Kluyveromyces lactis: one gene and its partner. The protein of the gene in region 1 binds, or shares a complex with, the protein of each later gene. Links are inferred from orthologs where the notes say so. Each region holds a gene or a part of one and is shown on either strand. Other genes may lie near its edges.

Region 1 (16,033 bases):
AATGAATCTGAAATGGGTTTTAGACTAGAATGAGAATTCGAATTCGAATTAGTTGTTGTCGAATCTTCCTCCATAACAAATGAGCCGGTACTGTTTTCCGATATATTGGAATCAGCAGCGGCTATCATACGTTGTTTATCCCATAGTCCAGTTTCATGATCAAATACTAACCCAGCATCTTCTGGAGTTATCAGAGGTAACCTTCTGGTGTTCGTTACAATTCTAGGCTTAGGACTAGGTGAGTTGAGATTCGATGGGTTCAGTTCGGATAGAGAATCCGAACTTGAATCAGAACCCGATTCAAAATCTTCTGATCCAGACACGGGACGGGATCCGGACTCGAAGTCTGAATTTATGTAGTTCCTTGTCTGATATGGCTGGTTGGCACCATTTGAATTCTTAGTATTCTGAGTGGTTAGGGTATCATTGTCCCTGAAATAATTGGATCTTTGGTTTTTCAGAACATTTTTAAAGACTGATTTTGCTTCTCGTGCAGGATCAGTTTCATGACTTAGACTACTGAGATCGTTCCTTTCCTTCTTCTTGAATGTATCTGCAGGAATTAAAGAAAGATCACTTAATGATGCTGTCACAATTAAATCCGATACATCTTTCGCAGATTGGTCACTCTTTTGCTTTGGTTTGAGTAAATAATTTTTCCACTGAGCCTGTGGAGCATCGTTTCCTTCATCCAAGTTATTTAACCTTTGCGCCATGGTCCCATTTGTTTTCGAATCCTCCTTCAAAGCTTTTACTGTACCGTAGTTGACTGACCAATCGTCCATTTTGCTAAGGAAAGAACCAAATTGCTGTGGCAATGGGTTTTCATTTTCTTTATATGGTTTAAGTTCAGCTTTTTTAGTCTTTTTAAGTTGCACTTTCTCAAGCGTCGGACGTTCGATTGCTATACCAGGTTGTTCGTTTTGATCTTCGAAATCATCACTGTTGATGAAATCTTCGAAATTTCCGTTTGATCGCTTTACAGTATTGACCTTCTCAGGACTCGTAATATGAAAGTTTTCTAAACTCTCAGCTAAATCCATATCGATCAATTTGAGAGATGAAATGAGAAGATGTTGATCAGTGAACTCTTACAGACTGCGCAGTAAGGTGTTCCCCACTTAGTTTGTTTTATTTACGGGTGTTCTGATTCTCGCCAGAGAAATGTAAGCCTTACAATGGTACGCGAAGCTTGTACAAGCAATGACGTGGGAATAAAAGAACGATTGCAACAAATTCGATTGGACACTCAACTTTAGATATAGAGCACTGAAATCTAGAGATTTGATCTTTAGGAGTTCCGGTAGGTAAAATAACGCGAGAGGGTAAACCTGTCTCACCTTTGTCAACTTTTACTTGCGCAAAGATCTCTTCAAAAAATCTTGTTTGTTGCTAGTCGATGAAGCACAAAATGCTAAATAAAAACTTAATCAGCTAAGGATTCAACGCCAATATTTGAGAGCTATCAATCAATAGCTCGTAGAACCGAACAAAGAAATTGCCTATAGCTTTTGTAAGCTTTTAGAAAACGAATGGTATTCTACAGTTATCTGTAACTGAATTCACTTCTTGTAAACTCATAATACTTCAACAATTAGCAGAGCTTCTTTCAATTGGGCGTTTGTTTTCATTCTCGAATTTAATCTTGTTTTTATTATTGTTTTCATGTTTTTCTCAAATGCACTTTCTGCATTTGCGGAGCGCTTTCACAAAGAGAAAACTATATAGATAAATGATACAATTGCATTTAGCAGACATACATATACACCTATAAAAAGTAGGAAATTGGACGGCAAAAACAAAGTGTGACATCTGGCGTCTGTCGTTTCGAAACAGTATTACTTTTCTTCTGACTTCATGCCACAATGTGTAAAGCCTTAAGAAAACCGAAAAAAAAAACATAAACGGTATAAAAAGTATGAAAACTGATGTTAGATTCCTCGCACGTTGTTTGCTGCAAAGAAAGATCGATAACTGATGCTATCAAGAAAAGATGCGCTGTAGTACGACAGTAATATAATTGGGATTCTCGACAATATTTCTACTGCATTTACATTGGTGTAGTACTTCTATGCGTAGAAAAACTTGAGGATTCAATGAACTCCGTCATGTAAATTCTAATGTATATCGGATACACAGTATCGCATCGAATAAAGCCCTTCTTATCTGCGGTATAAACGAAAAAACGCTGCAGAACCTTTTCTACTGACATTTCAGATCCCGGCTGGAATACAGCTATAACCACGACATGGTTCATTATTATTTACATATTTTTTCGCGTCGCATTGTAACCGGGTAATTAACAGTTTTTCGCTCCCCTCTTTGTGGGTCCATCTCATAGCCCCGTAGTTTCTGCATCTGTTAATAGCATTTTCTGTGATAAAAATAAAAAAACAAAACAAAACGAAACAAAACAAATGTAAGCTAAGACAACCTTCAGCATAACTCTCAACCTGGCTATCGATATTTCATGGAACAACTGTTTCAATTCGTGGACGTTTAACTGAGTTTAATTCTGCCTACCCGGTAATACTATATAATTCCCAGAAGCTTGAAGATATTACAACAGAGGGGAATAGCAAACAACCATCATTTACGCATAAGTGATACAAAAATCATACTTTATATCCTCTGCTAGTTAGCTTATCTTTGGAATTTGTTTACGAAACCGTTGCATTGGAACACTACTACAGATTCACTATTTGATTTAAGACTGTACGTTTATCTATTTCATCAATCGTCATACCCATAGAGTAACAGTACGCGTGTGGTGGGATCCTTATTTCAGGTTTAGTTCAGCACTGTGACTTTCCTTTCTCCTCTCGTTAAAGACAAAAAGAAGCATTCGCTTGGATTCAGATTACACTCTGTATCGTTTTTTGTTTTTCAATTTCAAGATACAGTTTGACTATTGTGTTTATATTTAAACAACTGGACATCTCTCTTTGTTTCATTTGAATTTTTTACATTGCAGCCAACTACGCCTTCATTTCATTTCTCACAACGACATTCGTTTACCGTAACAATAAATCAAGAATATTATTACCAGTGCTACCAGTGTTACCAGATTTCCAGATGAATTCAAGGGACGAGGAAGCCAATTACTTGACAAGTCCTCATATCTACCGGTCAAATGCAGGGCAAGAGCAGCTTGGTACTAAATATGCCTTCAATAGTCCGCAACCAATGCAACACACATTACCAACTCCATACACCCTTAATCAGAACAAACTGGACCATATAAACGCTGTTGAAAGGGATAATTCCGATTTGAATGATTACTCATTGGTTGAAAATAGCATGCTGAATCATCGCAATCACCAGCGTCATCACCAGCACAGCCATCGACCCACCGTTGATCCGAACACTAGCTCCAATGATATCGATGTCAATAGTAGTCAAATATTAACTGATGGTGATAACTCTATCAATGCTGAATTTACTGGTACGACACATAGTTCAACATCACACGACGTTGAAGTGCTTCTGTCATCCTCGAATTCGAGAGCCTCCGCCTCCATTGTTACAGGTTCCAATCAAGGTTCTACCATCCAGACATCAGCAAACTCAACAGAAAGAAATGGGAAGTCATCTATATCTTCATCCTCATCATCATCGTCAGCGGCAGCAACTAGAACAGCAATCACTGGAAATAACATCTCTCAACCAATCTTACCTGATATAAATGAACAACCTTCCTCTGTGTTGCATTTCGGAAATTTTGCAAACGAATTATTGCTTGCGAGTCCTGAACAATTCAAAGAATTTTTGATGGACTCACCAGCAGGTTTAAACTTTTGGCAACAAAGACAAACTCCCGCCAAGACACCTCTTAAATTTGTCACTAATAATACGAATTTAACCCATCAACAAAATAACACAGGATTGATGAATTCCATTCACTCTCCATTGCAAAATATTGATGTAAACCTCATGTTCAATTCTGCTTCCAAGACTTCATTGTCTCCGCCTCGAAAACAGATGTCCTTGACGCCATACGGCAGAAGGATTTTGAATGAAATGGGAACACCGTTTACCAAAATGATGCAACCAATTTCTTCGAACAACAGCGCATTGGTTGACTTTCATCGTGCCCGAAAGCATAACTTACAGTCTACACCTACTTCAAGACCAGCTTTAAGGAATGAAAGCCCTGGATCGAAGCTATATTGCTCATCCCCTACCACCATCCAACTTCATTCGTCAGGTGTCAAATGTTCGCCTGAAAGAGATCCAAACATCGATGAGAAACTATTTCACCTTCGAGCATCACCGACACCTAAACTATCCCTAAATAAAAGTGAGAAGTTCAGACTTGACCCAAGTTTTGAACTACCGAAAATGGGATCCTTCAAAGAAGGGCTCACAATTCCGTCATTAAGAGCACCGGACACTAACAACCAACCAATTAACATTAATAACGCTAATATACATTCCAGTATGGGTACAACACATGACATATCATCTACTTCGGAAAAAGTAAGAAAACCAAAGCTTAACAGAAATGGGAATAAAAACAAATCTAAGACAAATCAATTAATCACAAAACAGAGGTTCCAAATTATAATGACCGATACAACCAGTTTTAATTCGGATGACGGAGTTACTTCGAATAATCAAGCAAAATTAAAGAGATCTCGTTCGGTTATTGTACCTGGAGAAGTTAAGAAAAAGAAGAAAAAGAAGAAAGTCTACGAAACTTCTAATATCATACCTAATTCTCAATAAAAGACAGCATAATCGACAAAAAAAAAAGGGAAATTAAATCAATGTGCTTTCCCCATACTTTCAGCAAGGAACAATGCTTGCACTTTTCCTTATTCATGTTTTATATCTACCTTATCCTTTCGCACGCCTCGCAGCTTTTGACTGAAGGCTTCGTTTTTATATTTTCATATTACTCTTCAATTCTTATGTACATCTCAAAGCATCTATATTAGTTTGTGCCGTTTCGTTTTCTTCCCAATAAAGTTGGTGATAATTCAATAAAAAAAAAAAAAAATTGGTATTCACCATCCAAAATCAGGCTATCTTGTGAACTAACTTACAAGGAGTTCATTGTATGTTGCAAGAACCTGCAATTTATGACTGCTTTGATTACAAAATCCTGCCCAGTAGCCGTGCCTTACGCCCTTCAAAATAAATAATTCCCACTTGAAAAACAAAAGACAAAAAGAAAAACGAACAATAAATATTACAATCCGCCCCCAAATCAATTAAGGAACAGTCGAATAAACTTTAAAATAAAGGGAACCTCAGATAAAGCTATTGCATAGTTTGTCAGCTCCAAATTCATCGTTCAATATGGAAGCTCTTGATCCTCTTAGTCAGGATCCCAGGCCATCTGAGGAACGTGCCATTAAAAACGATCAACCTTACCATTTAAATTATGAATGGAACGACGTCCCATCTACATTCAAAACAATCAATAAGGATGGTCAATACAAACAATTTTCTCCAATTCCTTATATCACTAGTTATATTCCTACATTGAATACGCCTGCTGCTACCGCGGAGCTTATGAAGGAAGAAAGGGAAGTAAATCTACAGAAATTAAGGAATTACTATCATAAGGAAGCATTGGACTCTTTGGCAACACGGAAAGATAGCTATGTCTCTCAAAGTACCAATTCGCCTCAGAGCAGATCTTCAAGACGTAGGACCTCACTATCCCATAGATTCTCATCATGGAACATGGATCGTCTTCCTGAAGAGCAGAAGTCCACAAATTCTTTTAGCATTGACACTACTCAGGAAAATCAGGCCACTGAGGCAGCAAAGGTTTACATTAAGTACCGTCAGAAATTTTCATCGAACTGCGACTCTTTTTCTTCCGGTGAGATATCTGAACGTGAGGAAAATATGTGGGTGCCGATTGCTAGGTGGCAACCAAGCTCTCCGGACATGGAGCCAAAGCTGTACACATCCTATAAAATCAAACTCAACGTTCCTTATTCAGAAACATGTCCAATTACTATTACTAAGCTGTATCCCCCAATTTTTAGTGACACTAGAGTGCCTGCCCTAACATATCATTCCATTGTTAATTTGGATAGCTGTTTGTATATTTTTGGAGGAATGTCACCATCCTATTCTTTCTCCGAAGTTTCCCCGGACTTATCCAGTTTTCACGTAGACGGAATAAAACACCTTCCGCCTCCATTAGACGAAACAATCATTAATAACCCGGCTATGCTTCCAAGTAATAAGTTGTACACATTTTCTTATACGTCAACAAAGTGGACTGAAGTGAATGCCACAGGACAGATCCCTCCCGCTTTAGTTTGTGTCCAGGGCTCTATTTTAACCGACAGGCATATATTCTATTATGGTGGCTTTGAAATAAAACACGAAGTTTCAATTGATCCTAAAACAAACGAATACTACATTAAAAAGCGAGCAATATTGAACGATACTGCATATATATTGGACACTTTGTGCTACAAGTTCACCAAATTACAGCTTGTTGCGCAACCTACAAAATACGTGAAATATCCGAATACAGTCCCCAGATTTGGACATCTACAGGTTTCATTGAAAACACACACCCATAAATCTACCAGAAGTTCAACATCAGGTACTGATTCTCCCCCTTCTTCATTGTCATCCTCAACAGCTGAAAAGAATTCCTCTACTAATACTTTCGAAGACCCTATGATGAATTTTGTATCCTCATCAATGGCATTGAGTTCCGATAATATCATTTCCCCAACCTCATCAAGTTCACCCGGTGTTTACAGCATTTTAATTATGGGTGGTTATAGAGAAGGCGGAGATGGCAAGTTCATACCGATATCCGATTTATGGAAGGTCGAAGTGACCGTCCTATCTCGGGGCAAACGTAACTTTTTGAAGTTTGCTGACACCGCATTAGTGACAATAATATCTAGATTACCACAAAACGCAGTTGATGAAGCATTTCTGAGGGACTATTACAAAAAATGGCCTTTACCTAGAGGTTTTATGGCATCTTATGTCGTAGATACAGACTCTTTGAGTCCGAAATCTATGGACGCAGATCTGTTAGACAGACTAATGCATAATTTCAAAATAGTTGACAATATTAACGATGAACCCGTTGTAAACGAGCCGATGATTCCAGGAAGAACCATGAATTCCAGCACTAGTCCCAAAAGATTAAATAAGTCGCTAATAATACATGGAGGTTCCGCAAATAAGTTTATTCACGGTGATATGTGGTGTTATGATTTAGATGAGGGAACTTGGACAAAACTATCATTGAAAGCCAAGGACAAAGAGACCGGAGAGCTCAAAATAGTTGAATTTCCTCTTACGGGACACACTTTTGTACATAATAAACAGATCACCGTGGTAATTGGAGGATTGAGCCAAAAAGACGTGGATTCTTCTTTATACTGGAAAGACTACAAGTATGACGAAAAACATCAACATCCCATGCATGATACCGATGGAACCTTCACGTTCATCAGTTTACCATCTCGGGTAATTAGAAACTTCGAAGTTGTTAACATCATGAATAGAGCCAGAACAAAATATACGGAAGATATGCCTTTGTCTGCGCTGAGACTATCATGTAATCCCATCGTCTACGATCAAGACTACATATGGACGGTAGGAGGTCTTATAACGGATACGGAAAGCTGTGATGTTTTCCTACGTGGTGCAATATCATTGGTAAACTTACCATTGATTGATATCCCAGGTGTATAATGACGGACTTTTCAACGGAGATATGCTGAAAGTATTTATGACATCCGTACTGTCTGCAAACAGCAGTTCAAATTCGTGAATCGTCAGAGTTGACAGAACGACTACTAGACTATAGCGCTTATTGATATTTAAACTACGAAGCGCGACCCATGCTGTTGTATTCATCACTTCTAATCTTAATGAAAAGACTTGAACAAGATTAAAATACCAGTGACTGTCATATTTGTTTGCACCCGTACATATTCCAAAATCCTCCTCAAATCTGAAGAAAACTAAAGAATTTCCAAATATGGCATCTACACGTCAACATAGTACGCGCCACCACGGACTAGTCTTAAGAAAAATGTTCACGAAAACACCTGGACATTACAGCGAAAGAAAAGGACGCAGTTGTTCTGCCCTCCGCTGTCGTCTGTTGATTCTGAAATATCTTAAGTGTTGAACGTATATAGTGCGCTAAACCTTAAAGTTATTTTTCACGGTGAATGGTGGAAGCTTTATATTTTGAATTCCCATGATTTAAGCTAATATGTTGAAGAGTATTGAATAAAACGTTTCGGATGGTCTTCTTATTAGTTTAGTATGTTTTTAGTTTTATGTTATTCTAAAGTCTTCACGGAGCAGTACCACTGTCGAAGAAGTCAATACTTTAGAAAATTTTATCAAATTAGAAATGTCTGACGTTGAAGAAGTCCAACAAGTCCCAGTCGCTGAATTGACCATCGAAGATGCCCTAAAGGTCGTCTTGAGAACCTCTTTGGTTCACGATGGTTTGGCCAGAGGTTTGAGAGAATCTGCCAAGGCTTTGACCAGAGGTGAAGGTCAACTAGCTGTTTTGGTTGAATCGGTTACTGAAGAAGCCATCAGCAAGTTGGTCCAAGGTTTGGCCACTGAAAACAACGTTCCATTAATCAAGGTTGCTGATGCCAAGCAATTAGGTGAATGGGCCGGTTTGGGTAAGATCGACCGTGACGGTAACGCCAGAAAGGTCGTCGGTGCTTCCGTTGTTGTTGTTAAGAACTGGGGTGCTGACACCCAAGAAAGAGAAATTCTTTTGGAACATTTCAGCCAACAATAAATGAGTGGATTTTGAATCTATGTTCAAATCCAATTTAACGCTTCTGTTTTACTCATTTTTCTCATACTCAACAATAACATAAACAGATTTCTTCATGGGAATATGGACATTGTTTGGTTTGATAAAATGCTCTATTTTATAGTTTGTATATATATTCTAGGGTATCTATATGTTTACAAATAGTTTCCATCTATACCTAAAATGACGTTAATTCCAACCTGATTAATTCAGCTTGTCGAAGCAGGGTTGCGCTAGAAGAATAGCGGCAAATCTTGCGAAGCAGCTTCATACCCGTCACTATTTTCCTCTTCTTTATCGTCATGTGCAGTTTTCTTCGGCGGTTGTTGTGTATTGGGAAGGAAATTATGGCGCGATTCACTTCCCATATATTCAATCATCATTACTTTTATCTCATTTACGTCTGGAAGCTCTGGAAGAGCTTTCTCAAGCATGCATATCTCAATAATTATCCCAGGATAATGACTTGGTAGATTGTTACCTGAAATGGCTCTAGTCCTCTTATACTCCTGGTCATTAGGTCTTAGTATATCCTTCGTTTCATTCAATATATTAACAGTCATCAAACCATGTACATCTCTACGTATCATGATTTTTGAAGCAATCCGAGCACTGGCTCGTATTTTGTCTAGCATTCCATAATCAAAAACACTTATCATTGGATGATCATATAAGAGGGTGGTTGAATCATTTGCGTATATTTCGAACTTCTCTAAAATCGATCTCTCATTAGGTAATATGATCTTAGATAAACCTTGTTGAGATCTTGAAATCAATGCGAATAAGGGCTTTTTGGTGGTTTCGTTATGTATCGCATAAAAATAGCAATCTTTGCATCCAATTTCCTTCAAATCGTGTAAGGCATTGTGTAAGACATCCCCTTTTATTATGCATTCGAATTGCAGTCGCGTTCTATCTAGTACCAACCCAGTGTTGTCTAAGTCTTTGAGCAGATATGTTGAGTATTCGACGCTTTCAGTGATCATGTTATCTTCGAATATTAATATGAATGGGGATCCATCCCCATTATATGTTAAAGTACACTCAATTATATCGTTCCGATCGTTACTGATATTCAAACTATCCAATACATGGTCAAGCCGCAGGGATACCTTGGTCAAAGATGTTTCAGTTATCGGGCTATAGTGAAAGGTTTGAAATAACTCCCGTGAAAGAACCAATTGGATCTTGATTACATGATTGTTTTCTTGGGCAAAGGACAAACCATTTTTATCTATGGTGATGAGCATTTCACCTTTCACTCCAAAAGGTGTTAAACAATTCAAAGCCGTCACAATATGATCCAAATGGACAGTCGTCGCATAAAAAATAGGAGAATCTATCATTGTGGGTTGCCGAAAGATTAAGGGTTCAAGATGTTGACGGTTCTCTGGTTTCTACTTATTTATGTATTGTACATACTGATATATTGTTTATAAAAACAAGTGAAATGGAATCAAAATCATAAATAGAAACCTCATTGCCATTATATGCGAGGAGATAAGGAAACCACCAATTGGCTAAACAAGTCCCTTATGAAGCAAGCCCGGCAAAAGAAGCTTTCGATTATAGCTGTTGGGGTATTATCGACAGTGGCAGTAACTGTAGGTTATTTATTATATCTGTATCGTGGCCAGCGAAACCCGAATATAAGAGACGTAAAACCAAAGTCGAAATGTTACGTTCTTACACAAGACTTGTTCGATAAGATCGAAAATTGGCAAGAAGAACTATCAAAAGACAGCGTAATGTTAGTTTTACCAGAAGTTGCCCACTTAGGAAATCATTTAAAGTTACAGCTATCGTCTATTGAACATAAGATTGTCATCTTTAACAATTCATCGGCCGTTTGGAGTGCAGTTAGGCATTTAAAGAAATACGAGTTGGTAATAAGTCGTGATAAGACTTCTGATATGCCAGTAGATCTCAGGAGGTATGTGGGACAGATTTCGCACATTTGAAATCTGAAATTTACATCAGTTTTAATGTATGCTATTATAATAGTACTATAATGTTTACATCGTAAACTTATCTCTAACAGAACTTCTGGCTGAATGAAATGGTTAGAAATCTACCATATTGAAATTTGCTATTGAACTGCAATGCATACTATGCTTGATGTTCGTGATTGTGTATTCTACAAATAAAGAGTACTCGGCTATAACAACAACATGCAAGCTGAAGGACTTTATTAAACAATCAAGTACTGTAAAAGCAGAAAGCCGACATACGCATTGTATCACCCGAAGAAGGTTACTAGATTTCTCACATCCTTACTCCTGCCTCAACATGCACTGGAATCAATATAAAAAAAAACAGCATTCCTTAACAGAATGGCCTCAATGATATAATATTAGGAACTGTCTTAGAGACAGGATGGTATAGCACAGCATAGGGCCGAAATAAAATGTTATCGCCAATTTCAAAACTGATCTTCATTACCTCTTTATTTTGGCGCTTATATAATTGATCCTAAGGACCAAAGGATAGTGCAGTGAAGTGTAGCAAGACAATGTTCTTTTGAGGAAATAATTGGACTGACAGTTATTAACTGATATTTCAGCAACTTAAAAGAAAGAGTGGCTTGTTAATGCTATTTGATATGCAGGATCAACAAAGCCATAGTAATAGCTTCCACGATAACACAAGAAATTTCTGCTTATGTGTCTTTGGAGCTATTTATGGATTGTGAAAGGCTCTATTCGTACTCGTCCACATAGCGATGCCCCATTTTCAAATATACAATATTTCCATAAAATGACGTTCTAGAAATGTGGATATATGCAGTTGAAAAGAACAGAGCTTTGGGTAAATTTGTAGAAATTGACGAACGATTTACAGAATGATAGTTGCTCCATCCCAAAATTATACACTCCTACTAAAGGTAACTCATAGTGGGTAGATAAATCTTTTGTTTTCAAAATCGGTAAGATCTAGCATGGCTAGATTAACTCTTTCGTTGACTCCTTCTGTGAAAGAAACAATACCAAAGTTGTCTTCTGGATGTTCTTGAACCCATTGATACCTTTCTTTGTTCCTTTTCGCCAAAATGTATCTGATTGTTAACAAAATAACAATATTAAGGAAGAATGAAACCACAATTTGAATAATCCAGGATGGATAGTATCTTGGGGCATCCTTTGGATTCCAGAGTTGAGGAGAAATGATGTTTGCAGCGCCATATGCCAACATAAACATTACGTTCCTGTAGAGTTTCTTGGTATAACCGGCTGCAGATGATGTCGTCCATCCCAAAGCAATAATGTATGTGATACCCTTTGAGGAGCCGGCTAAGATCATACAGGCTAACAACGCATATTTGTTGGACCAATCTATTGTAACCATCGCAATACTGGACGCAATTGGTAGAATCAGACAACCGGCTGCAATATAACCACTTTGATTTGGATAGTTGAGGATAACAAAAGCGAATATCAAGTACAGTAGAATGTCCCAAACACTCCCAGCCGCAGAAACCAATGAAGATCCTAGGTTGTCGACACCGATATCAACATACAATTGGTTCTGTTGGTATGTCAATGAATTTGACAGCATAAGAGTAAAACTTTGGAAAAAGAACAACCATGAAACTGGATCTTTGAATGTTTCATAAATTTGATATTTTTTGATTGTCTTCTGTTCAATTGATGATTCCGTTGACCGTTGCACTTGCTTTATAAGATAGACTTTTTCTTTTGTTGACAGAAACTTTGCGTTAGCAGGGTTATCAGGGTAGAGGAGTAAGACAATTATGGCAAGTATCAACGATAAACCAGCATTGATTGCCATAAATATTCTCCAAGGATAAGTGGATGTATTCGTATGCATCAATCCAAAAGAAATGAACGATGAAAGTAAAGGTGCTGCTGCTGTAGCTGCCCAAAACACTGGTTGAACAATTTCACGTTGCTCCGTAGTAAGGAACATACCAAGGGTAATCTCACAAGCAGGAACCACCACGGCTTCGGTGGCACCTAAAAAAAAACGACAAGCCATTAAACTACCATAATTATTACAGATTCCTGTCAACCCTACAATTATTGCCCAGGAGAAAATACTTCCAGCGAGATATTTTCCCAAGGGCAATTTTTGCATTAATATATGACATGGCCATTGAGCAATAAGGTACCCAGCGTAGAATATAGAATTTAAGTTGTTAAAGTCGCCTTTACTGATTCCTGTGTCTGTATAGATTCCAAGAATGGTAGTATAACCGATTGTTGATTTATCCATGAAAAGGATTAACGTAACAAGAATGGTTAATAGAGATACAGCAGCGAAGTTTTTCTTAACAAACTTTTTCTCTTCCTCCTCAGTAAGTGGTTCCACGGTAGATTCGTATTTGTCCATAAATTTAAGAAGTTCGTCAGCATCTTTGACATCAATTTTTTTTTCCTTTTTATCAATTGAATCTGAGCTAGTCTCAAATTCGGTGTATTTCCCGTTTTGCAATTTATCATCTTTATCGACTACTTCAGCATCTTCGTTTTCTATTTTCAATTCAGACATGGTAGTGTATTTTGCTTGTTTTCTATAGATGATAATTCTTTAAATCTTATATATTACGTATAAGAAAGAACAACCACACAGAATCACATATCATCTGTTAGAGAGGTCCTGACTTTATATTTGTTAAATTGTTGAAACAGCAGTATGGGTTATTGGCCCACATTGCTTGAGAGTCTCTGCAAAGACTCATTGTGTTTATCTATTTCAAAATTAGTAACTCCCGGGGTCTCTCACAAATGAAGTATTACGGTGAAGACAAAATTAAAATTATGAGATTGGTGTTACACTAGTTTAGTACGTGTTTGACTTGCTGGTAGTATTCATGGCCGTTGAGCGGTCTTAAACTTTCATCACTGTGACTTTGTGGAAAGAAAGAATATGTCTCGAAGACATTTTTACAAGGTTTGAAAAAATGCTTTTGATCGGCACCTGTAAGAGGACGCAGAGGTTTCTGTCCGACTACAGACCCTTAAAGAAAGATACGTAGCCTTTTGACATCTGTCAGGTTGGCTGTAAAAAAATAGACAGCAAAAAGTGTGGTCATCACAAAATGTGGAACTAACTATGGGTACAGTTACTGGCATATGCTAGATTTGTGGGGATAGTATACTGTCTGTACACCGTTGCAAATTTGGAATCGTGGTTCAGTACTGGAACAATTTCTGACTGCTGATGTTGGTAGTCAAAATATCGCGATCGGATAATCCTTTAAGAATTAGTCAGAAAATAGTAATATGACATTTATTCAATTTGTTTCTTATGTATCTGCTGCAACTACATAAAAATTCGTCTCACAATATCATACTTGGATATCAAAGTCCATTTCAAAAACATACACGAACTTTACTTGGGCCTTTGTTCACTTTTTATCAAAAGCTTCAGTTTGCATATAGCTGGCATCATCACCACTCTTCTCCTTGAAAGAATCAAGGAGTTTGACCTCATAAATGATCTTAAATATGTCTCCAAATTTGAAAGTAACGATCCATACCAATGAAGCAAGAATCATCATTAGCGCGTCAAACACGTACAAGAAGTACTCGTGACTGATAATGAAGCCTTTATTACCTTGAATAAATTCAATGGCACGTACAAGAGACCTGATCAGAATTAGTAAACTGATGCCCAGAAGTGTTAAGTTGAGCGTTCTCCAGTGAAGTGAAAGGTACGGAACAATAGCGCTAGTGCGCTTTACTCGAAGCAAGAAACGTAGCTCTGTGATCATGAAAAAACCGAAGACTGCAACCTGCACGAATAATCCAACAACGATGATGTTGGACCCAGTTTTTGATTCACTTGACGTGTCAGCATTGGCCATGATACCGGCACCTGCACCCTGCACAAAGAAACTTAAAACATCACCAATCACAAATATAGTTGTGCTCCAACGTGCAGGAACTATGGAAAGCTTCGTACATTGTAGATAATGTAACATTTGACCAAATACCATGTAAATCGTCGCAGCGAACAAAGCTGGCGCAACAAGAAGAAATACAGATTGGAGAATGTATGGCGTCAACTTGTCGGTATCATTCACAGACATGTACCGCATACCGTATCCAACAGCTTCTATGGCAATACCTACCAAAAATGGTAAAAATCTCAAAATGGTGAAGTTCCTAACTTTGCGTTTGTTACTGGCACTCATTTTGTCAAACCTTCTTACAGACGTAGCTATCATAATAATCATCGAAATAAATAACACGCCAAAAGTTGCACATACGGCTATGGCAGCTGCCTTAGAAGGGTCGTAACGGTACTTTTGAAAACTTTCACTTGCGTCTCCAGTAGCCATTGTTTCGATGAATATTGCTGCTGTTTAGTGATTTTCGTTGGATATTTTGTTTTGTTCAGCTATTCTGGACCCTCCGAAAGCAGAACATTGATCGTAAAATGTTGAACTTCCATGAGTGTATTTATATCTTAGGTCCGATACAACAAGGCAATGCCAATGGCAAGATGGATTGATTATCGATATGCTCCCCATAGGCAGATATGCGATGAAATGTGATTAGTTAGAGAAGCCCTGAACCATGCACAGTTCTAGCATCAAAGTAAGAAACAGGACCATGGATAGGGGTAGGGGCTATAGGAGGAATGCCGTGGAGATGTGGAAAGCTGCCATTGAACAGCTGATCACGGGACCAATGAAAACGGCGTCCAACATTCTTTTTTTTTATTCCTGCCGCTTTCCTGCGGCAGGAAAACTGCCAAAGTTCTAAGCCTTATGAAGAAATTCTTAGCCCTTTTCGAAACAATGTCAGCAGAAGAAAACAGACAAGTTAAGAAATAACGGGGGTACCAACAAATGTCGAGGCGCAATTTCCTGCACGCCCTTGAAGAGAAAATAAACAAGCCTTGTCGACTCATTGTGTCTATCAGTAGATCTTAGCCAAGAAAACAATGTTCCTATTGATCTTGAATATACTTCAAGGTAATGAAGCATGAGAATCGTAGGTACCTTGTATTAATTTGCAAAAGCCTCTTCAAATACGTAGCTCTCTGAATGCGGATCCTTTCACTGTGCTCAATCAAGTGTGGAACGCAATAGGTTCGTGTGTGGGGTGCTCTACGCACATCATCCGTCTGCACGCTTACAAAAGTATTTGCTCCTTCAGGAATTAGTCTGGGCATTGTCTTTCGCAGTTTTCGATGTACACAAAAGGGATCAGTAAGCTTATCTGTTAGCATTTTTTGGAAAAGAAGCGCTTTACAAAGGCAAAATCTTTTCAGCCT
Region 2 (16,404 bases), about 880 kb from region 1:
TTCGATATATTAAAGTCCAAGTAGGTCGTCGACAAGATAGAATTTATTGCATTTCTCTTTTTAGGAGACATCGGCAGACATTCTAGACTATTAGCAAACCAAGTTAGTTTCGGCTGCGTCGCGAGGGATTCACAAAGTGATTTCAATAATTGCTGATCCAAATCCGTTAGATAATGTTGTAAGTCAAAGTTGGATCTTTTCAACATCAACTTGTTCAAATTCCTTTGAGATACCGACGATATGATATATGAATAAACAAGATCCAATTGTTGCTGCAACTGAGCTGTGGATTCATAATTATTATTGCACTGGACCATTAACTTGATATGATTTTTATCTAAGAAAACAAATCTTGTCATTATCCCGTCCTTACCATACATAGTAAACTGTCTCATTGCTGTATTGTCATTAATATTAAAATAATTCATCACGGTATGGATAATACCAGTAAGACCCATAGCATGATTCTCATTTTCCCACTGCGAGAAGACTAATTTACCAGCTGAAGTAAACACGAAAAAATGTTTATCCTTGCCACCCCGTTCGTCGATAAATTTGGTAGTATTCGCAGACTTATTGGAAGTTTCTTGGTTTAACGTCAAAGGGTATAGAGAATTTAACTCAGAAGTTATCAAAGATTGTAAGTCAATATTCAAATCAGTGTCCGCACTGATAGAATGATCATAGGTCGCGGCCAGCAAGTTGGGATCATTTTTGGCCTTAATTGATGCTGTGGTTCCTGTATCGATGTCTTGATAAAACAGCCCACCGCGAGCACTGAGATGGTTTGTCAGGTCAATAGAAGTAGTTGGTTTCGCCGAATTTTTCGTACTAATTTGAAACGACGGAGATCTGCGCATTATGGTAATCAACGTAGTCGAATGCGATCGGGAGATCGTCCACAATCAGTTACTTAACTCCTCTGGTCTCCAGATTAACCTTTTATTATTCAAAGGTTTTTTTACATGAGCTTTTTGTATGACTATTTTTTTTTTTTTTTTTCAAGGTCTGATGATTAAGATAATGAAGAGAAAGGAACCTGCAAGGCAATGACATCCAAGTCCTGGCGTGAACCAGTTTCCGTTATCAAAGAAGTGAGTTTTACATTTCAAATTAAGAAGGAATATACATAGGATAGAATAAGGAAAAAGATAGTGTTATATATATATATGTAGAAGAATAATATATATGTGGAGAGAGGTCCTAATTTTATATTCTTTTTTTTACTTCATAAGAACGACACAATTTTAGAAAGCATCGTCTGAGACAAAATCGTGACTTTTTCTCTTCAACTTAAAGAGAATGAAATAGAGAGATGAGATGACGAGTTAAGAAGAGATTTGGAGAAACAAGTTTTCCACAAAAATAAAAAAAAAGAATCCATATCAGTGTCTCTTATCGAATCTTTTGTAATTGTAGTAACTGACGTAGGCGTCTGCAGCAATGAAGGCACTCAACCCTGAAACAATCAAAGCGATATCCTTGTCAGACTTCCCCTTCAAGAAACGTCTTTTGTTAGCATATCCGTTTAGCAAAGTTGTAATAGAGGCTGCACCTAGCAAAGTGTTGAAAGCAACTACAGGGTTTTGCAATTCATGCAAGACAATAGTGGTAGCCTTCGAAGTATTAGCTGCAACGGTAGAAACAGTAGCTTGAGTAACACCAACTGTCTTGCTGGCGACAGCGTTGACAATTTCGACTAGCTTATCCCAGTATGGTTTCAAGATTCCTTCGTATTCATCGAGATGTTTTTTAACTTCGTCATGAGCCTTATCAACGGCATCATGGGCATCATGAGCAGCATGTGAAGCCTTATTCTTAGCGGTCTCCTTGGCTTCCTTGACGTCCTTAGCTGCCTTACGTTTTTCTTGCTGCTGGTTGTGGTGTTGAGCGTCGTGTTTTTCTGATGACATTTTTATTTTCTGTTGATACACTGATACGTTTGTTGTGAAACTGAATCCCTAAAGAGTTGATAATAGAGAGAATATAGAAAATGTTAAAGCCTTAACAAAATTGTAACGATAGTTTACCTTATTTTAATGAGCACTATTTTTTTTCGGCTTTTTCTGTCTCTTTATATTTTCGGGGTTGAATTTATAGAAAGAAAAAAGGGTAAACTGATTATGGTATTTCTGTCTAAAGGAACTATTAAAAAAAAACACCGGTATGGGCTTTGATTCTGAACTGATTTGAACCAAACTTTGAACTTTTCGATTTGGACCTGAGGTTACTAAACTAAGACAATCTTGTGGAGAAGACTCAAACAATACCCTACTAGTAGTATCGCAGTTATATAATATCGTACTTTTCAGGGATATATCGCTACTTAAATATCCGTGCTCAGAACTGATCTAGAAAACAAAAAAAAAAAAAGAAAACGGGAGATCACAATCACAATCACAATCCCAATCACGATAAAAGCTAAAAGTCGAACAATGATGAAATGTCACAGTGTGACGAAGTGTAACTATTGGTGATGTAGTGTGAGTGCTTTTATGTATTATGTATTGTAATACGGATGGAGCGGTTACAGCCGGTTCCCGCTGCGTTAGTTTGGCTTCTCTGTTCCACGTTTGAACATTTTCTTTCCAAGATGCTGAGAAGGTGTGCGGCATAAACGTCATTTACGCTGGATAGCGATAGAAGTAATCACTTTTCTGTCTCAGAAGATGAATTTGCTTCTGTCTAATAGGCCAATTGGAGTGTATTTGCTACTAACATGGCTTGATAATGTTGTTACCGTAAAATAAGGGCTGTTCTTCTGTATACTTTTCTGTGTCCTATTGACTGAATGTCCTGATTGCGGTGAAAGCAAACTGAGAAAGCAAAATGCATGCCGGACCTGGGGTAACCTAGGGTAACCAAATTATATCTCCTAGTCGGGATATAAATTTTGTGGACTGCTTTTCTCCATTAACACCCGTACATTCGGCAATTTCAATTTCCATCTTTTTTTTCAATAATGATCGCCACTTTCTTTAATAGGAAATATTGACCTTTAAACAAAACTATCTTGACACGTGATTTATAGCCTCTTTATATCCTCTTACCCTGCCAGTACAATCAAAGTTTTTCAAAGGTTTCTAGCTTCACAACCATGCAAACACGTCGGATATTTTTTTTTCACACATGAGACCTATCTATCTCATCACTAAACAAAGCTGCATCTTACCAAACGTTAAGTAATTTAATTTTATAATCTCTATTTGTTTCTCCTTCGAAGCTCCCCACGCATTGTATTTATTGTCGATTGAAAGTTACCTATCCATCAACTTTCCGTGATCCAATCCCGACAAGTCTTTATTAAGTACAATTCGATAAATCAAAGATGTCTGCTCCACAAGCTCAAGGTCAACAAGCTCCACGTAGAGGTGGTTTCGGTGGTGCCAACAGAGGTGGCAGAGGTGGTAGAAGAGGTGGTAGAAGAGACCAAGAAGAAAAGGGTTGGGTTCCAGTTACCAAGTTGGGTAGATTGGTGAAGGCCGGCAAGATCTCTTCCATCGAAGAAATCTTCTTGCACTCTTTGCCAGTCAAGGAATTCCAAATCATTGACCAATTGTTGCCAAACTTGAAGGATGAAGTTATGAACATCAAGCCTGTCCAAAAGCAAACCAGAGCTGGTCAAAGAACCAGATTCAAGGCTGTCGTCGTCGTTGGTGACTCCAACGGTCACGTCGGTTTGGGTATTAAGACCGCTAAGGAAGTTGCTGGTGCCATCAGAGCCGGTATCATCATCGCCAAGTTGTCCGTTATCCCAATCAGAAGAGGTTACTGGGGTACCAACTTGGGTCAACCTCACTCCTTGGCTACCAAGACCTCTGGTAAGTGTGGTTCCGTTTCCGTTAGATTGATTCCAGCTCCAAGAGGTTCCGGTATCGTCGCCTCCCCAGCTGTCAAGAAGTTGATGCAATTGGCTGGTGTTGAAGATGTCTACACCTCTTCTACTGGTTCCACCAGAACTTTGGAAAACACTTTGAAGGCCGCTTTCGTTGCCATCGGTAACACCTACGGTTTCTTGACTCCAAACTTGTGGGAAGTCCAAGCTTTGACTCCTTCCCCAATGGATGTCTACGCCGACTACGCCACTGCTTCCAAGAAGAAGTTGTAAATGTCATCTTTAAAATATTATAACTGTGCTGTATAGATATTTTTTTATAGCTGTCAGTATGTTTTCTCTGAAACAATAATATATTGTTGACATTTTACCAATTGTTCCTCTTCTCTTCACAAGCTACATATCATATATATTCACACTCATTATAATTGACCTTAACCCTTTAGGATCGATCATAATAAATGATCAATATACGTGACAAACTAACTAAGGGAAACTATATGACTGTCCTATACACTTCGTAGCAAGAAAAACCAGAGAAAAAGACATATGGTAAAAAAAAGAGATAGTGATAAAATCAAGGTAAAAGGGATTTCTCTTATATGACCATTAGAGTACAGGTCAAGATACGCCAATCATATTAATAGGCTTCTGGAATTTAAACACTGCCAGTCTCTTTTTTACAGTAGTCTTTCTTCCGGTTGACCTTTTTTTTTTATTACTTTACAGTATTTTTTTACCTTTTAAGACTTTTTTTTTTTTTAATAATTAATAGATATAACACTATAATAATAATTCAAATAAAACAGTTAAGGATATCACCATTAAATAGAGCGGAGTAGATTGGAATGTTAACTCATCATCATAGCATCGCCATCTACTTCTTGTCCAGCATGAACTGACTGTACGTTAGATTCTGGTACAGCAAATGGTCTCTCGTTACTCGAGGAATTTCCACTTCCAATCAGCTGCGGATTGAACCAAATACCGTTGGTGTTTTCTGTATCAGGCTTTTTTGGCTTTTCAGGCAATACCCTTTCTGGAGGATGCTGGAATAAACATCCGTATGTTCTACATTCAGCCCCGTACCTACAAGGTTCATTGATAGGGTGACCGAAGAGGCAGTCTATTCTTGTACATTGCGCACCCTCGCGGCACATGATTGACGACCTTGCGTGTCTCTTTGGACAATTTTTATTGGTACATTTTGGACCAAACTTACATTGTTCCAAAATCTTTTCTTCCAATGGGACAACCGATCTTGGCGCGAATTTTGGATTAGAAGGTTTAGAAATGACCGGTTTTGGTGCTGGCTTGTGTATGATTGGTTTTATTTCCTTAATCTTGGATAAGGAACTGTGAGCCTTGTTACAGGTCGGATCAGTGCATTGCAAGTTGTTCTCGCACCAACTGAATTGGGTAACCTTTGCGTCTTCATTTGCAGGAGTTGGATGACCAAATGGACATTTTTGATTAGAACAAATGATCCCAAATTTACATACAACAATACCACTGATCCTTTGCTGTTGTTTCTTTTCCATCTCTTCCCTCTTTATCCTGCGTTCTTCTCTTACACGCTCTAGTTCTTGTATTAATTGTCCATCTTCATTTGGATGTAAATAAGTGCATGTACCTGGTGGATTTTTACAGTTTGGATAACTTGGACACGTAACGGTTGGATGTCCACGAGGGCACTTCCTTCCTAGAGAACAGTGAGGGAAATCAGGACAACGGCCTTCTCTCTTGATGACAACATGGCCAGATGTTTCATTTGCGCCTTCCGATTCATTTATTCCAAGAGCCATCGCCAGTTGGTTAGCACCGTATCTCGAGTTAACTCCACGTCTATTGGTAACACCAGCACTCTTTGAAATTCCACCTCTAATGGAGCTGAAACCACCACGTCTAGAAGTCCCATTATGGGCCGATGAATCTTTGTTACGTTGCGAAGACCTCCCTTCGTTAGCCGTATTATATTTAGATGCAGACACATCTACTACCCCGCTAAATGCAGAAACCGGTGCACTTGGAGCTGGAGCAGAAACGGGTGGTGACTGTACTGGTACTCCTACAGATGTTTCGGTTCCAGTTGACACAGGTGCAGAAGGTGCACTTGAAGAAGGTTGAGATGAATTACCACTCAACTTTGCATAAACGGTGTTCAAGTCATCGCCTGCTTTCAACAGATCTGCAGATGTAAATGCAATGGAGACAACACTCTGGAACTCTTGCGTACTAATACCATCAAACAAACTTGTCAATTCTTGTACGATATCAGGACCGCTGGAACCGTTGGACATTAAAAGTGTAATATACTCAGCGACTTGGTTAACATCTTCGTTGAAATTAGGAACAACCTTTAATCTCTCGGAGATGACAGTCTTTAAATTGCTGGCAATATATTCAGGTACAGTTGACATGTTGCTACTCTTGGTTTGTGTCCTCTTTAGTTTGATCAAGCAACAAAACTAGCTTTTATCCTTGTTCAAATAACTGCTAAAGAATCATTCAGATTATTCGTAATTAATTTCGTTTTAAGTATATGTAATCTTGTTCTTCCTTTTCTTGTACCAGCCCGAAACAATTTTTTTTTTGGCTCTGTATACGGAATATCGTAGAATATTACGCAGAAGGTTGAGTGGAGAAAAAGAAATCAGAACGATGTCCTCTGCTATCCGAGCTATCACGTGATTCGTTGTTAACTCCTGTATTATATGTTAGTTGCTATATGATAGTGACAGTGAATAGACCCTGTTCCAGTTTTAGGTAGAGACCTGGATCAGTGGTTGATGAGCATTAGAAATCTTTCTCATATTTATAAAACTGCTAGTAGCTTTCTCTAGGGAAGTATTCATTATTTAGAGGAGTTAATTATTGGGTTTCCATGTGGAAATGCAGAATGATTCTATGCTATAATTTATTTATTCGTGATGAGATGCAATGCATATAACAAATTCCGTCGAAATTTCTTACTTCATATCTATTCTTTAGAAAGGTATTCTTTAGAAGTGTCTCGTAGTTTTGTCTTCTTGTCTTTCATGTAATTTATTACATTGTTAAATGTTATGGTCGTAATGCTTTTAATAAGTTCCTCGTATTCCTCGTTGATCTTGGTAACTGCTTCCGACTTTTCCTGCAATTCTATCTGGAATTGTTCATAAGTGAAAGGTTGCAACGATCGTTGGTATAAATTCGGATGGCGTTCACAAAGGTCGGCAAATAGATGAAGAGACTGCAAAAGAAGACTTGCTAATGTGAGGTGTAGAGAGTAATCCCCAAGACTTCTCTTATTAGATACCGACAGGTTGTACATTTCCGGATAAATAGTTATCACTTCGTTAATAATATCGATAGCATACGCTGAAAGGATATTGAGTCTTATGGCTAATCCATCCAAAGTTTCATCCCTAAGTGCTTCCTTTATCTTCTCTACTCCCTCAGTTAAATCACCTGCAAGAATTTGGTATGCAGAGAGTACAATAGGAAGTATTTGCACTTCTAACTCTTTAGCCCATCTGTTTATATTTCTTCTTGTAGCCAAAAGATCATCGGATGCCTTGGAAAACAATTCGTCATCATGCTCAAGACGTCTTCTTTCTGAGTCTATTCGCATGAAGGCGAATATAAATTCGCTGCTGATTTGCTCCGCAAAAGTAATTTCTCGCGACATAAAATGTGCAAATCCTAAATAAAACTTTCCAAGATCTATTACATCGTTCTTCCCATCATACATCACCAAAAAAGGATACTTCTTCCTCAATAATTCTGTTAGTTTCTCGCTATCCAGATGGTTAGCAGAACTTAAGTTGTTCCCACTCATTATTTTGGTACAAATAAACCAGTGAACCACCCCGATGTGATTATAGGCTTTGATGTTGATATACACCCAATAATGAAAAGTAAACGTGCACTTTCCACTGTTAACTTCTATTATAGTCATCCTCGGTTCAAAATACATTGGAAGCATCTTAGTATGGAATTGATCTCCAGTCACGTGAAGAGAATCAAATCCGTTTACAGTGATATATTCTCCCTTTAACCTGAATTTTTCAAAATTTAGTAAAAAAAAAACGCGACGCCAATAATGCATATATTATAGTTTTAAATTGAAGAGTAACATTAATAATTTTTGCAAACTATACCCATTGTTTAAGAGCTGGCAGGAAATTAAAGCAAAGGGACTCTTTGGTACTTTTATTGAAATAACCTGCAAAGCATTTCGTGGCTCGGTATTTCAAACTCATTGTTCTATTAGGCGTGGCAGTTGTCTTTTTTGGTTAGATATTGAGGACCCCATTGTGCTAATCTCAAGTAACAATGAGTGACGGAGGAATTGAAATTGATTTCCAAGCCTTTTATGATAGGTTTACAAAATTAGGGAAGGCATATTCTGGATTTGAAGGTTCTCCAAATAGTCTTCTCTTTGTACTTGGTTCGACTAATGAGGAAAACCCTTATCAAAAGACCACCATTTTGCATAATTGGTTGCTAGGGTATGAGTTTCCAGCTACATTGATTGCCTTTTTCAAGGATAAAGGTGTCATCATAACCAGCAGTGCTAAGGCGAAACATCTTTTGCCCGCTGTTACTAAGTTTGAAGGATCAGATTACAAACTTGAGATCTGGCAAAGAAATAACAAGGATGCAAATCACAATAAGAAATTGTTTGAGGACCTCATCAAGCTGTTATCAGAAAACGGTAATACTGTCGGTGTCCCAACGAAGGATTCATATCAAGGTAAGCTCATTCTTGAATGGAAACCGCTTTGGGAAGAAGCTAAAAAGACGCATTCTTTAAACGTAATCGATTGCTCTGCTGGTTTGTCTTCTACTTGGAAGGGCAAAGATGATAAGGAAAAGGCTTACCTTTCTGTATCCAGTAAGGGATCTGACAAATTCATGGATCTTATGTCAAATGAAATCGTCAATGCTGTTGACGAAGAACTAAAAATATCAAATTCTAAGTTGTCAGATAAAATTGAAAACAAGATAGATGATTCCAAGTTTTTGAAGAAACTTTCAAGTGATCTAAATCCTTTGTGTCCTACCGACGAGAAATTCGACGTTAATTTCCTTGATTGGGCCTATTCTCCAATTGTGCAATCAGGTTCTAAGTTCGACCTTAAGGTTTCTGCTCGTTCTAACAACGACTCACTTTTCGGAAAGGGTTCCATCCTAGCCTCATGCGGTATCAGATACAAGAATTACTGTTCCAATATCACCAGAACTTTTTTGATTGACCCGACAGATGAAATGACTGACAATTATGACTTTTTATTGATTTTGCAAGAGAAGATCATCGATGATTTATTAAAAGTAGAAGCTGATCCAACATCTATTTATGAAAAGACACTGGAATTCATCAAAGAAAAGAAACCGGAATTATTATCTCACTTTACTAAAAATGTTGGTTCTTTGATGGGGTTGGAATTTAGAGACTCTGCTGGTATGATCAATGCTAAACCAACCGCTCATAAAATTTCAGAGAATTGCTGTTACAATATTTCACTCGGATTTGGGAATTTAAAGGATAGTAAAACTGGTCAGGTATATGCTGTTCAATTAGCAGATACCGTTCAACTTTCTTCTGATGGAAAGCCATCCACTTTGACCAAGTACACAAAGGCTAGATCCCAAATCTCGTTTTACTTCAACAACGAAGAAGAGAACAAAGCTGCAACTGTTAAATCTGAAAAAAGCAAGCCTCCTGCTTTACCAAAACCTGATGGTACATCGAAGATTTTGAGATCTAAGCTACGTGGAGAAAGTCGTGCTGACGATGAAGAGAAAGAACAAATCCGCAAAGAGAACCAAAGAAAACTTCATGAAAGATTACAGAAGGAAGGTTTACTCAGATACAGTGATGCAGATGCAGTAGATGGCGATGAGAAGCCAAAGCATTTCTTCAAAAAGTACGAATCTTACGTTAGGGAAACTCAAATACCATCCAATGTACGTGATTTGAAGATTCATGTCGACTGGAAGAGTCAGACAATCATTCTACCAATCTATGGTAGACCTGTACCTTTTCATATCAATTCATACAAAAACGGTTCTAAAAATGAAGAAGGTGAATACACTTATCTCAGATTGAATTTCCATTCTCCTGGTGCTGGAGGTGTCGGTAAGAAAACTGAGGAGTTGCCGTATGAAGAGAACCCAGAGAATCAATTTGTTCGTTCTCTAACTTTAAGATCTAAGGATGGTGCTCGCATGAGCGATGTTTTCAAACAAATTACTGATCTTAAGAAGGAATCTACCAAACGTGAACAGGAAAGAAAAGCTTTGGCTGATGTTGTTGTCCAGGCTAAATTGGTGGAGAACAAAACTGGTAGGACTAAACGTTTGGACCAAATCTTTGTCAGGCCTAGTCCCGATACCAAGCGTGTGCCAGGTACGGTGTTCATTCATGAAAATGGTATCAGATACCAGTCTCCATTGAGGACAGATTCAAGAATTGATATCCTATTCTCAAACATCAAGAATCTATTCTTCCAATCATCAAAGGGAGAACTTATTGTGATCATTCATGTTCATCTAAAGAATCCTATTTTAATGGGTAAAAAGAAGATCCAAGATATTCAATTTTACAGAGAAGCATCTGATATGGCTGTCGATGAGACAGGAAACAGCAGACGCAACAACATGAAATTTAGAAGATATGGTGATGAAGATGAATTAGAACAAGAACAAGAAGAAAGAAGAAAACGTGCTGCCCTTGATAAAGAATTTAGATATTTTGCTGAAGCTATAGCAGAGGCATCCGATGGTCTCCTAGATGTAGATTCTCCATTTAGAGATCTTGGTTTCCAAGGTGTTCCTTCTAGATCAGCCGTGTTCTGTATGCCAACGAGAGACTGCTTAATTCAATTAGTTGAACCGCCATTTTTAGTCATAAATTTGAACGAAGTTGAGATTTGTATACTTGAAAGAGTTCAATTTGGATTGAAGAACTTTGACATGGTCTTTGTTTATAAAGATTTGACAAAGCCTGTTTCTCATATAAACACTGTACCAATTGAGCAACTTGAATTCATTAAGACATGGTTAACAGATGTTGATATTCCATATACTGTTTCTACAATTAACTTGAACTGGTCGACAATCATGAAGTCGCTACAAGATGATCCTCATCAATTCTTTTTGGATGGTGGGTGGTCGTTCTTGGCAACTGGATCCGATGATGAAAGATCTGATGAGAGCGAGGAAGAAATTTCAGAATACGAGGCATCTGATGAGGATCCATCTGATGAGGAAGTGTACTCTGAAGAAGAAGAGGATTATTCGGATGACGAAAAATTCAGTGATGAAGGGTCAGATGATTTCGCCGATGGATCAGAAGATGACGAAGGTGATGACTGGGATGACTTAGAAAAGAAAGCAGCTAAGGCAGATCGTAATAGCAATTACAAAGAGTAAGATTTTTCTGTCTCTGGATAGTTTATCGTTATTTTGGGTTGTATTTTTATAAGCACATAATGTAGGCACTTTAAAATCTTTTTTATTGAAATAGTTGGTTATTCTGGTTGGTTTATTTATCTCAACGTAATTGCATTCTTATTACATATTATACATACGGTTCATCAAATTAACATGACAGCATCGAAAGTGCGATGGAAAATAACTTACTAAACCCCCTCAAGTTCAGTAGTTAGAAAACCCAGTTGCCTGTGAGCCAATCGCGCCATTTGTCAAAAGTAATGGCTGGTCATCGGAGTTAGAGCCTACTTTTGCCTTTGATGCAAACTCGGAACTTAATTGCTTGATCGCATCATTTTGCTCCTTCTTCACAGAAATTTCATATGGTTTAATAAATGTTTCCAAGTTATTCAACCAAGCTTGTTCAAGGACAGTATCGTATGTAATCAAGTGGTAACAAGAATATAGTAAAGCGATAAATCCTTCTTTGTTGTCGGTTTCAATGAAGAATGATAATAGGTCTTCGGCGATCTGTTGACTTTGTGAAATTGCAGCAGTTTCAATAGCATGTTTCCAGAGCTGTTCGCCCTTGAAGATAGCCAAACTCTTGGCCCACTTTTTGTTTCTACGGTACAATTCGGCAGCAATAATCTTGAAGAAAATTATCTCATGATTTTCCAAACGGGTGGCCAACTCTAGTTGATCAAACTTATCATACGAGCTAACAGCGTCTTGAAGAGCTTTGTAATCAACCTCTTCGATCATCAAATCGTGATAAGCCTGATTAACTACGGAGTTGTTTTTTGGCAAGACATTAATTAAGAATGGTTTAATCAATGGTAGATTGTCAGATTTGGAGAAAATTCTAACAGTTCTTGGAATGTCTAATCTTGGAATCAACACGGTTAATAAATCAACAAGTAGTGAAGGGTGTTCCTTCACATAAAAGTTGATTGCTTTGTAGTAAATTTCCAAGTTTGACACTTTAACAATGATTTCTTTGAAGTACGAATGGTCAAAGTTATAGGCAGACTTTTCAATCATCGTTAAAGCAGCATTATCCCATTCATCGTAGTGTGCATACAAAAAGATCAATTCTGGCCATAAATGAGCATCCTCTACAGCCCTTATGACTTTTGGAATGTTAATACGAGACCAGAATAGCTTTAGGTGTTCATAAGTCTTGGATGGATTGTACTTAGTGTAAAGGATTGCCAATTCAGTAAACATACCCATATGAGCTCTTTCCAAACCTAAACCTGCTTCGAATAGGGAAATTAGCTCCTCGAAATACCCGTTGTGCTCATATACAGCAACCAATTCGTCTAACTCCTCGGCATGAACAACCAAATTCAAACCACAGATTTGAGCCAATCTAAATTCTTTATTGGAAATACATGCGTCGTTAACCTGTCTCCACACCTTAACATTGGAAGCTTTTCTGGCGGTATCGACAGCATTTTGATAATCACCCAAATAAACTAAAGTGCTAGCCAACTTAGAGTAGTTAGAAATAGAAGAGTAACATAATTTGGCAGCTTTGTAATCATTATGCTGGGATAACTTATCACCAACTTCTTCTAGGTTAGCAACGGTAGAGACTGACAACAAGTTTTCAATTTCATTCAACTTACTCAATTCAGCGTATGCCAAGATTAATGCTCCGTCGATTACCGGTTCCTTCAAAGATTCTCTAGCCATCAACAAATATGGGACAAGCTCTTCAAATTTACCAGCGTCTTCGGCAGCCTTGATAACGTTCATGAAGTTCGAAGGATCTTTAGCCTTGATGTAAGAGTCAATAGCTTCTGGGATACGTAATGCATTTAATTCTGCAGTACCAAGTTGAGACCATAGCTCTGGTGTGTTGATTTTGTCGGCATATGATTCTGCTCTGTCTAACATCAAAAGATCTTCGACTATAACTTTCAATGCTTTGTCATGTTTCCCATGTTTATCATAAATTTCGAAGGCTTCTTCATTTAATTCATTTTCAATACACAATGGTGCAATTTCATCAACATCATAATGATCTAATTTCTCAATTAAGCCACTTACCTTGTTAGGTTCATATCTAATAGCAGAGAGAAGCAATAAACCTTGCAAAGCAGGATTGTCATTGAAAGGAGATGGCTCTAGGATAATCTTCTCTAACAATTCAATTAACTCCGTCTTTAATCCGTTAGACATAAAAGCCTGCACAGTCAAAGACACTGGTTCTGGATCAGTAAGCTCAGGAATGCCAACGCTAATGACAGCATCAACCAATTGACGTCTATGGATATTGTCAGGAGACAACACAATGTTCCACAAATCAGAGTTTGAACGAGCCAACAAATATCTGGCCTGATATTTGTACATACTATTTTCGTTTGTGATTCTAATCAAATCATCATCGTTTTGTCCTTTCTCGTAGGCGATGTACGCCAAGTAAGGGTCCCTCTTTTCACAATAGCGACCAACATTCAAAGTATCATATTGATCATTCTCCTTCAAGAACTTTTCAGGTGAGTTGTTTGAGTCAATGTAGATCTTAGCTAAGGTGTTGTAGACAGACTGATTTTGAGTCCCAGATTGTAAAGTCTTTTCGAGGAATGGTAATAGTAACTTCAATCTGTTTCTCTTCTCGACTTCAGCAGTCAATTCATCGATAGGAACTTGACCGACGACAGTATCTAACAATGAGGTGATAACTTTCTCGTCACAATCAACATCCAATAAACCTGCCACAACTTGAGCAGTTTTAGAAGGATTAACTTGTTGCACGTACACTTCGATAAATTTGAAGTTTTTGGTTCTGTACAAGTATAAAACCAAGTCATGCACCATGTTGAAACGATCGCAAACAACAACCAAAGGCATTTGATCTTGTAGTTGGGCATCTTTCAAGAAATTCTTGACCTTCTCTGGGTCATAAACGTTGTTTTCCCTTACAATTCTTTCAACTTCTTGGAAGTGACCAGCTTTGACAGCAGCTTGAATATACTTGAAAACAACTTCCTTATCGGTAGTCAAGTTTACTAAAGAAGCCAAGTAGTAATATAAACCTTCGTTTGATCTATAATCTTCGAAGAGTTTGATTAATACTTGAGAACCAATCAAATCCGAGAACTTGGTTGCAACTTGAATGACAATTTGAAGATTTGCTTCCAAATTATCATCTAACAAGGTCTTCAAACAGGCGAGTGATTGTTCGACATTCAACTTACCGAAGAAGTCCACTAACCAATCAGCTGGAATGGAGGAAGTATGGACAATACATCTCTTGATATCCTTAATATCAGAGTAGTTTTCCAAGGCCCTTTGGTATAAACCTGCCTTTTCTGCCAAACCTGCAATAGTTGGCTTATCATAATAAGAGAAAATGTCATTACCCAAAATAGCATCAGCAACTTGAGGGGCATTTAATAAGTTGATTTCCAATACTCTCGTTTGCAAATGTCCTTGATCAGGAGTATTTGATCTTAAAGCGTCAAGTAAGAAAGAAGTACCTTGTTGAATGTAATTCTGACTGAAGAATATGTCGGCAATCTTTTCAACTTCAAGTTGAGAAGCAGTTTCAGGGTTAGATAATAAACTGATGGCAAACTCACTTGCTTTGTCGGGGTTAGTTCTTAATAGGTTAGAAATCAAAACAACGAAGTTTGGATTGTATCCCACCTTGGCGGAGTATGGTAAAATCTTATCGAACTGTTGCAATTCTGCAAGACATGCAATTACCTTTGGATGTACTTCCGCCTTCAAATAGGTTGCCAAAGCCAAAGTAGTATCAAATGGCTTCACGATGTCACCTAATTCTTCAGAGCATTGTAATTTGTCTTCCTTTAAGTACTTTTCGTATAATTGATTTCTATTTTGTTGTAGAAGTGGTCTTGTCAATTCAATAGACTCATATTGATTTAGTTTGCCCTTATCCAACAATGTGGAGAAATATAGTAAAATTGGAGAGATTGATCCTGGAGGTGCCTGGATATTTTTCAACTTGTTAATTGTAGCTTGAGTTCTTAATTGCTGGGATGACGCAGCAACTTTAGCAGCATTGCTGTAATCGCCTTGTGATAAAAGGTTGTCGAATTGCTTCTCGAATAAATCATCAGCACCTGGTAGTCCACCTCTCGAAGCCATTGTCAATGCGAGGGATACATTGGACAACTTATTCAAAACGTAAGGAACTATTTGAGTAGTATCAATTTCAACAGCCAAAACGTTACCCTTTTTGTTGATACATGCGATACCATTCTTGTGGTTGTAGTATGTTGCAGTAAAGACAGAGTCCGCAGTGATTCTATTGACGAACAAGTTTGAACCAGTCTCTAACTCATATAAATGGATAAAACCGTACTTGGTCAAAACATAAATGATGCCGTACTTCTCAGAGACTTGAACAGAAATTGGGAAATCGTTAACTGCATCAGCTGGAAAGAATATATCTACAATTTTTTTCTGGTATCTTACTGACTGGTCTTGAGGTGGATCGATTTCAATTATACGCAATTCGCCAGCGCCTGTGTTGACGTTTCTGTTACCTGTAACGAAGACTTGAACGGGTTCCGTGTTACCATCCAAAAGAATTTTGGAGAAGATAGCTACGTGACCATCAATGGCTTGCGAGATGCCTCTAGTTTTCGAAAACAATTGAATTTTACCAGCAATTTTACCATTTTCTTGAATGATACCAACGACAGCGAACCAGTCCATTTTTTCATTGGCGACAAAGTTGATAATTTGGGTGTTGTTTAAGTTAACGTGTCTATCAGTAATTTTGGCTGGCTTAGCAGAAACGTTTCCATCAAACACATTGGAGACGTAAAGTGAGTTAGCAGTGATGAATCCTAACACGTCTTCGCTCAACCATTTCCAGAAAATAACTGGTTCATCCAATTGGAAAGATTTCAATTTGGACTTAGTATCCAAGTTGAAGATTTGAACGATGGTTCCGTTAGCTCTAACAGAGATAACTTTTTGTGAAGGATGCATGATGGCAGAGTCACCACCCATATTTTTCCTTGTGACCTCATTGCCGTTTGTCAAATCGACAATTGCCACCGTGTTTGTACCGTTGGAGGACTCTCTAACGGTGACGAAATGATCGGATTCGAAAGTGGTAGATCTGAAATCTAGGTATTGAGGGGAGATACCTAGTGATGTTA

Evidence for each region.
Region 2: RPS12 (region 1) and RPS2 share a complex: the UniProt entries of both Saccharomyces cerevisiae proteins name them as parts of the small ribosomal subunit. The link is inferred for Kluyveromyces lactis from reciprocal best matches to the Saccharomyces cerevisiae genes RPS12 and RPS2.

Annotation. Positions count from the first base shown.
Region 1 is NC_006042.1:11,783-27,815, reverse strand, and holds RPS12 (40S ribosomal protein eS12), read left to right. Parts: upstream 1-8,365; coding exon 8,366-8,770; downstream 8,771-16,033. Other genes in the region: NUD1 (Nud1p), read right to left, coding at 1-1,043; NDD1 (Ndd1p), read left to right, coding at 3,076-4,728; GPB1 (Gpb1p), read left to right, coding at 5,305-7,692; RAD17 (Rad17p), read right to left, coding at 9,022-10,134; ubiquitin-protein transferase activating protein PEX22, read left to right, coding at 10,279-10,749; KLLA0_F00286g (uncharacterized protein), read right to left, coding at 11,678-13,297; KLLA0_F00264g (RTA1 domain-containing protein), read right to left, coding at 14,157-15,092. UniProt on the Saccharomyces cerevisiae protein: Component of the ribosome, a large ribonucleoprotein complex responsible for the synthesis of proteins in the cell.
Region 2 is NC_006042.1:899,826-916,229, forward strand, and holds RPS2 (40S ribosomal protein uS5), read left to right. Parts: upstream 1-3,328; coding exon 3,329-4,108; downstream 4,109-16,404. Other genes in the region: guanine nucleotide exchange factor MON1, read right to left, coding at 1-860; OM14 (Om14p), read right to left, coding at 1,386-1,913; mRNA-binding protein NAB2, read right to left, coding at 4,687-6,255; KLLA0_F09867g (uncharacterized protein), read right to left, coding at 6,816-7,925; chromatin-remodeling protein SPT16, read left to right, coding at 8,153-11,254; CHC1 (clathrin heavy chain), read right to left, coding at 11,480-16,404. UniProt on the Saccharomyces cerevisiae protein: Component of the ribosome, a large ribonucleoprotein complex responsible for the synthesis of proteins in the cell.